Linked DNA regions of Notamacropus eugenii. The protein of the gene in region 1 interacts with the protein of each later gene in a pairwise test. Links are inferred from orthologs where the notes say so. Each region holds a gene or a part of one and is shown on either strand. Other genes may lie near its edges.

What was found.
Region 2: the proteins of CCDC57 (region 1) and TSGA10IP interact in binary tests that used the Homo sapiens proteins (3 or more experiments, as listed by UniProt). The two-hybrid records come from large-scale screens. The link is inferred for Notamacropus eugenii from reciprocal best matches to the Homo sapiens genes CCDC57 and TSGA10IP.

Annotation. Positions count from the first base shown.
Region 1 is NC_092873.1:326,921,208-326,925,126, forward strand, and holds the start of CCDC57 (coiled-coil domain-containing protein 57), read right to left. Parts: upstream 2,358-3,919; 5' UTR 2,216-2,357; intron 1-2,215. UniProt on the Homo sapiens protein: Pleiotropic regulator of centriole duplication, mitosis, and ciliogenesis. Critical interface between centrosome and microtubule-mediated cellular processes. Centriole duplication protein required for recruitment of CEP63, CEP152, and PLK4 to the centrosome.
Region 2 is NC_092873.1:18,640,367-18,644,285, reverse strand, and holds the start of TSGA10IP (testis-specific protein 10-interacting protein), read right to left. Parts: upstream 2,852-3,919; 5' UTR 2,837-2,851; coding exon 2,669-2,836; intron 2,254-2,668; coding exon 2,126-2,253; intron 2,044-2,125; coding exon 1,588-2,043; intron 1,434-1,587; coding exon 1,267-1,433; intron 643-1,266; coding exon 513-642; intron 1-512.

The DNA.
Region 1 (3,919 bases):
GATTGAAACACACATGCAAGCAGTTTTGGTGTGGAGATAACCTCAAACTCAAGAGGAAAACAAAGCGGTAATAAAAGGATTTCAAGAAGGAGAATAACACTGAAGAGGGAAGAGTAAGTAAAAGAAACTTCTTGATTCTGGAGGAGATTAATAGATATAAAAACAAAGGAAAAGAACTAGAAACAAAGAAGATGCATATCAACTGAGATATGGCTAAACACATAACATTATGCCGTAAGAATTATGAAAGTGATGATTTCTGAGAATTCTGGGTGGTATAAATTAATGCAAAGTGAATTCAGTGAAGAGAACCAAGAGTACAATACATACAATGACAATACCGTGAAGAAAAACAACTTTGAAAGATTTAACAAAGATAAGTCATGTCTCCATTATATTATTCTCTGCCTGACAAGCAAAATTTGTTTTGCTTGACTATGTTTGTTACAAAGGTCTTTGTCTCCCCCACCTTTTTCTCAGTTGATAATGAAGTGGGAGAAAGGTAGACAATTTTGAAAGTGACATTTGGAATTTATCATAGTGTGTATATGTAGGTTTTCTTTAAAGTAAGCAACATGAAAGATTCACAGTTTTATATAAAATCATCTTTTTCTGTTCTGTTGTGTATACAAAAATGCTCAGTTTTCTGGTTAAGTTAAAAATAAAATTTAAAATGGATAAAAAAAATAATGTGTTTAATTTGTCTTATATAGAAATTTTAAGTATTCTACTTGCTACAATATCTTGGCCAAAGTTATTCCATTCACCTCTGACCTTAGTTTCCTCATCTGCCAAAGCAAGGAGATGGACTAGATTTTCTACCTCCATCTTCTATGAAATGCAGTCAATAAGCATTTAAATGCATTACTGAAATGCTTGTTGACTGATTGCTGGTCTCCAAAGAGGCTTTAAACTTTTAGACTTGGGGCTAAATTAGGTAAGCAGGTAGACAAGGAACTATTTCAATATCACTAGTTTCCTGTGCAATCCTATGTATTTTATCCTCAGCCCATAGCACAGTGCCTGGCACACAGTATATATTTATTGATTGATTTATTAATTTTATAGAAAATTATACATAGATAATTATATTTCAATGATTGGTTTCCTTTGTAATCTTACATATTTTATTTTACATAAAATTATATATAAATAACGATGTCAATGATAGGGCTCCTTTTGAAATCTATGTATTTTATTTTACATAAAATTAGGTAGATGACTATTTCAATATAATTTTCTTTGTAATACTGTACATTTTATTTTATATAAAATTATAGATAACTATTTCATTGTGATAGATTTCCTTTGTAATTCATTTTATTTTACATAAAATTATATAGATAAATTTCAGTCCTATTTACTTTATTTTACATAAAAATTATATACCTGTTTCAATACAATTTGTTTCCTTTGTGATCTGTATTTTATTTTACATAAAAATAATAGATAACTGTATTTCATGGACAGATTTCCTTTGTAATCCTGTTTTATTTTACATAAAAATAATAGATAACTGTATTTCATTGATAGATTTCCTTTGTAATCCTGTTTTATTTTACATAAAAATAATAGATAACTGTATTTCATGGACAGATTTCCTTTGTAGTCCTATTTTATTTTACATTAAAATAATAGATAACTGTATTTCATGGACAGATTTCCTCTGTAATCCTATCTATCTTATTTTATGTAAGAATTATGAACAAGTGTATTCCAATATGTTTCCTTTGTAACCCTAGGCATTTTACTTTACCTATATTTCAATATGATTGGTTTCTTTTGTAACACGCACTTTACTCTATGAATTTAAAAACTTCATGCTGAGAAGGGGTCAATCCGTGCTTCAGCAGACCCCCTAAGGTAGGGCACGGCGGGTCAGAACCCTCGGGCGGTCGCCTAGCACCACCACCCACGGAGGCGGCGTTTGAAGGCTTGGCAATAACAAGCGCTGGCCATGGCTGGCGGGGAAGGGGCTTTTCCCTGGGTCTCTGCCCCCCAACGTCCCCGTCCTCTACCCCACAATTTCCCTCTAGAGTTTTCCAACCCACCTGGGCCGCCCCCCACCCCCAGCCCGTTCCAAGAACCTTCGCAACCCGCGCCCCGCCTCAGCCCAGACCCCCGCTCCCACCCGGGGGGCTTCGTGCGCCCCTCAGCTCAAGGAGACCAGGAGGCCGGCGTCCCCCCCTTTTCTCGCAAATCCTGAGCTACTCACTGGGAGCAATGTCTGGGTTCCGCGACCGATCCTGGGTTCAGACGGGCTTAGGGACCAGGCCGCGTTTCCATGGAAACCGGACTGCGCGCCTCCCTCAGGACCGCCGAGCACATCCAGCTGCGCTCGCGGGTGTCTCCGCCAAAGGCTTCCCCGCAGGAAACTGGTCCTTCAGGTCCGGGTTCTGTCAGAAACTCTCCTTCCCATTCGTCCTTCTCTGTGAGCACTAGGGAATCAAGGCACCATTGTGAGACCTTAAGGATAGATCCTCGCTGATGGTGATGAGGAGGGGGGGGAGGAGGAGGGGAGGGGGGTGGAGGAGGGGAGGGGGGGGAGGAGGGGGGAGGAGGGGGAGGGGGGGTGGAGGAGGGGGAGGGGGAGGAGAGTGCTGGTGGAGGTGGTAGCTGGCATTGATATAAATTTGAAATAGGGATAATGCGAGTCCCTACCTCCCCGAGCTGTTATGAGAATAAAATAATATCTGTAAAGACTAGCTTTAGTACGTAATTGTATCCTTACAACAACCCAGAGAAGTGCGTGCCCCATTTTACAGAAGGAGAAAGTAAGATACAATAAGTTGCCCAAGTTATCAAACAAGAGGCTACATTTAAACTCAGGTCCATCCTGACTAATTACAGTATTCTATGTATTTTCTTCCTCCAAGACCTGAAGACACTTCAGCAGGTGTCTTCACTCCTGTGAAGTGTAGACCTCCTCTTCACTCACACTTAACACATGGACTGCCTACCCATGAAGAGAAACTTCCTCGGCAACTGCTACTTTAAATTTTTCCTCTATGTGCCTCAGTTTCCTCATGAGGAATTTGTTGTGAAAGTAAAGCTATGAAAGAATTCAAGCACTTTATCTTTTTTGCATTTTATTTTTCTTTGGGGTTTTTTGTGTGTTTTCTTTTGCAATGTGCATAGTATGGAATATTTTGCATGACTTCACATATCTAACTGAAATCCTCCTTCTCAAAGAGGTGGGAGGGAGAGAATTTAAAACATGAAATTTTTAAAAAGTGAATATTAAAAATTTAGATGTAATTGAGAAATATTTAACAAAATAATTTTTTAATTTTAATAAGATAATTAAAATGGCCTTTTACCTGGCCAAAATGAGAGGGATGGAGTAAATAATTTTAAGAAAGGACATGTTTAAATGTTTAAAAAAAAATCTCATTTAACCTCATTTTACAAAGGAGGAAACTGAGACCCAGAGAGATGAAATGATTTGCCTAAGATCACAAAGCTAGGCAATCTCTTCCAGATATAACATTCAATGCTTCTTAAACAAGGATTCCACTTATTTCATTTCTTGATTGAGTCAAAGCTGGATTTTCTTGATGTCCTACAGCCAGGTTCAAAGTACAACTCTTCTTTCAGAGAGTCTGAAAGCATTCATTCTAAGTATCACCCCGACCATCACTCCAACATTTTGGAAGATATTGTCCAAAGGGTGATAGTTGGGGGTGTTCTGGAGTCAGCTCAAGCTGGCATGTGAAAAATGGTTATATTTTCAGTGTGAGCATTTACACTTCAGAAATGAGCAATCTTTACAATTTTGATTTGCTATTTAGTTGATTATCTAGACTTAAGAAATGGTTAATAATGCAGATTAAATTGAAAAATTTGTGTGCCTTACATTCTACTTCTCCCTCCCCAGCCAAGTTGTTAAACATTTACTAGTTCACCCCTAGGTGGTTCT
Region 2 (3,919 bases), about 310 Mb from region 1:
AGCCCACCAAGTGAATTCCTTCAGAATTCTGAGGCCTCTAGCCACAGCATCATGACCCTGGTGCAGCTTTTGGATGTCCATCAAGGGACTGCTAATGGGCCCAACCTCCGCCCCAGAAGGGCTTGGGATTTTTAGGGTTTAGGACCTGGCTAGGTGACCTTGGACAAGTTACTCTAGGTCTCTAGGGTTCAATTTCCTTAATTATGAGATGAGAGGGTAGAAGGTCTCTTCCATCTCTGTCTACACTATTGTCTTTTCACTCTGCATGTGTGTGTGTGTGTGTGTGTGTGTGTGTATGCATGTGTACCTATGTATTATAGATGACAGGTGGTAGAAAGTGAGTCTGTGATTCAGTGATGTAGGAACCGCCACTGTGGGCGTATTATACCTCTGTGTATAACCTGAACCTGTTGATGGACCAACCAGTGAAAAGTCTAGACAGCCAGTGAAGGAATGATCTAGGGGAAGGCACCCCCAGCCCAGGGTAGGGGATGGGGGTGGGGGACAGGTACCTGGTGGCCTCTCGTCGCATCTGGAAGGTTCTGGTGGTGCCACCAGTTGTCAGGAAGGGCTTGACATCCTCCCAGGCCTGTACCTTCTCGCCTTGAGGATGGGTGGTATCCTGAATTGGCCACTGGGAGTCTGACAACAGAGGAAGAGAAGTCAGGAACCCCTCCTCACTCCCCATCCTCCCCCAATGCCTTACCCCAGTGCAGAGGGGCCAGGAGGTTCTAAGTAAGGGAGGTATGCAGGTAACTGAGGCTGGCCTCTTAAGCACAATAACCTTTGGAATGGACATAATCCCACAATGTTGCCCATATATCTCTGCTTTCTTAAGCAGGTGGTGCAGCCTGGTAGGGGATATCCCTGGGTTTGGAGTCAGAGATCCTGGGTGTCAGGGCCATAACTCGAAGTCATAGCTCTCAAAGCAAGCAGCACGAAAGGTTCTCAGTTCAACTTTTTGAGACCAATCCCAATAAGTGGTGAAGAGGAGAGCCTCTAACTCAGGACACTGGCCAGAGACTGTGGGAAACCAGGAGGCTACTTCTGGGAGTGGGAAGGCCAGGCTGGGGAGGGACCCCCTAGTATAAAGTGAAGTGGGGGGTGCTGCCTGGCAAATTCTGATTTTAATGTTTATTCTGGCTAATGGGCTGCTCATTCTATCCACTGACACAGTACAAACAGAAGAACCCCAAACTCCTCCTTTGACAAGTGAGCTGAAGGCCAGAGAGGGCTTGGGAGTCATTGGCAGGGGGCATGACTTACTGTAGAGTTCATCTTCCTGTAAGTGTTTCTGCAGAATTTCCATATCTAAGAGCTTCTCTGGGTCCTTGGACTTTGCCGACTTCCTCTGGAATCCTCTGAGGAGGGCGAAACCAGCCAGATGGAGGGCTTTCCACTTCCTCAGCTGGCCTCTCTCATCTTCTCTGCTCCTGGGCACAGGCAGGGAACAGATGAACTTCTTGAAGGCCCTGTCCACTCTCTCCTCTCCCTCTGCTGCCCCCACCCAGCTGTAGTTACCTCCCCTCACCCTGGGCTCCCCCCACCATCCTTAGCCTTTGGGCCCATTTTGCTTGGAACCCCAACCTTTCCTTGGAAGACAGAAAAGAGGGCCAGGTGGTGAGTTCCCTCCTGCCCTCAGGCCACTCCTCCTCCCTGCCATCCTGTTCTTGCCCTTCCAGCTCCTGGCCATCCTGATAATCCTGGCTGTCCTGGCTCTCTTGGCTGTCCAGCTCAGAGTGAAGCCAGGTTTTCAACTGCCTCTTCATGTCCTGACTTCGGGCCTCCATCTTCCAGTAGAGTGGGAAGTTGGCCGGCTGGGCAGATGGGGGCATGGCCTTCAACCGGGATTTCTGGGGAGCCCTGGCAGGGGGCAAGGCTGAGGTCTTGGCCCTCTGGGCCTTCTGGGGGGCCCCCTGAGGTTGTTGGGTCTGGTGGGAAGAATTGGAGGAAGGCAGGGGCAGGCTCCGGCCATCCACCAAGAAGCTCTCCCAGGCCCACTGGAACGGGAAGGAGGGCTTCCGAGGAGGTGGTGGGATGAGGCTGGGGATGGGGAGAGAAGCGCCAGTCAGAATGTCAGCCTCCCAGAGCCCCGGGTCACCTCCCTGCACCCCCAGTTACTCACTCTTCAGCCTCAGAGGGCTCATTCCTCTTCTTGCCTTTGTTAGATGCGTCTTTCTTTCTGGTATTCCCAGCACTCCGGGCCCGAGGTCGGCCTTGGATCAGCACCCCATCTCCACTCCCAAAAGCACTCTAGAGGGGGGAATGACGGAGCCCCAGTGAATAGCCAGCATCCCTGCCCAGCACAGACCAGAACAGCATGTGCCCTGCATCCCACAGGCGAGGAGAGACGAGTCCCGTCAGCGGCTGATGTCCAGAAAGGGGAAGAGCCTTCTTACAGTCAAGCAGAATCTTAGGTCTGGGAGACAATGACATCCTGGGCCTTCTGACTCATTCTGCCCATGTGAATTACCTCATCATACACATGGGAAGCCACAGGACCTAGAGATCCCTGGATTTTCTCAGAAGAAGAGACTGTCACAGATCCTCCCTGCCTTAAAGAGCCCTTAACCCTTAGGGGACCCTCTGCCACTCCTCCCCCTGCGCCTCCGTGGACCAGGCATCCTGTCTCCAAGCTCTAGGGTCTTGGCAGTTAGAAGCCACATACTTGGTGGGCCAAAGGCACCCCAGAAAGGAGTCCCAGCAGTCCAGTGGCTGTTCCCTTTTCAGATGAGGCTGAAGGGACCCGGACTCGGGCATCCTGGTTAGGTTTCACCACAGAGGCAGCCAGAATTGACTGTTGATGGGTTCTTAGCAAAGTATTCTTCTGCCCCATCCCCCTATTTCAGAACTTCTACAAGCCTGGTCCTGGATCATCACTATGGAGACCAACAGGCCTCTGGGGAGGCATGGTTACCTGGCCTGTGAGACCCTGGCTTCTGAGAGCACTCTGGCCCCTGAAAGCACCTCGGGGCAACTGTCCTCCCTGATCATGTCATAATGTCTTGCTGTGTGTCTGGCCATTTGTAGTAGCCTGTACTGTAACTTTTGTGAGGGCAGCATCTGACCGGAACCTGCTCTCTATCTCCTTGAATGGGGTCTTACATAGTAGGCACACCCTCAGCTCAGGAGATTGACAGCCAAAGGAGGAAACTCAGACTCAGAGGAGGTCATGAGCAGTAAGCGGAGGAGCCAGTATTTGAGCCCAGCTCCTCTGACTCCCAGGGTTTCCCATGGCACCGTCCTGTGTCTAAGTGGTGGCTAAAGAACCCTTGCAGTCTAGGGTCAGGGCCTTCCTCTCTCTGGATCTCAGTTTCCCCACCTGTATAATAAGGGAATCAGACAAGATGATCACTTAAGGTCCCCTCTAGCTCCCACACCCTCTCCCTGAAATAGGGATCTTTTTGTTTGGGTTATACTTCTGCCTAGCCTGGGACCCTGGTCTGTCTGGTCTGTCCCTGCTCTCTGAGCTGTCCCCCCCATGGTTACAGCAGCTAGAGGTGTGAGTCCTGGTCTCTGCCTGGCTGGTAACTCTCTATGGAGCTGGGGGTGGGGGGGACTTCAAAGGGGCCCAAGAGGAGGATGAGCAAGTTTGAGTGTACAAAAGGTTTGATGGGGTCAGAGGAGATGCTCTCCCCACAACTAGCTCTGGGAGTCCAAGGTTCTGTCTGGGAAATTGGAGGCTCCCACCCCACATGAGGGGAAATGGCTTGGTATGCACCGGCCTGGATTCCTCCCGTTTGCCCTTGAAAATCCTATTTGCAAGTTTCCAAACGATTCTCAGAGGCACCCAGTCCAGCACCGCATTCCTTGAGGCATACAAATTTTGCTCAGAGACTTCCAGTGATGGGGAGGTCACTACCTTTTTCTTAAGGCTGCCCATGATGCTTTGGGACAGAAATGAGGGTTAGGAAATTAG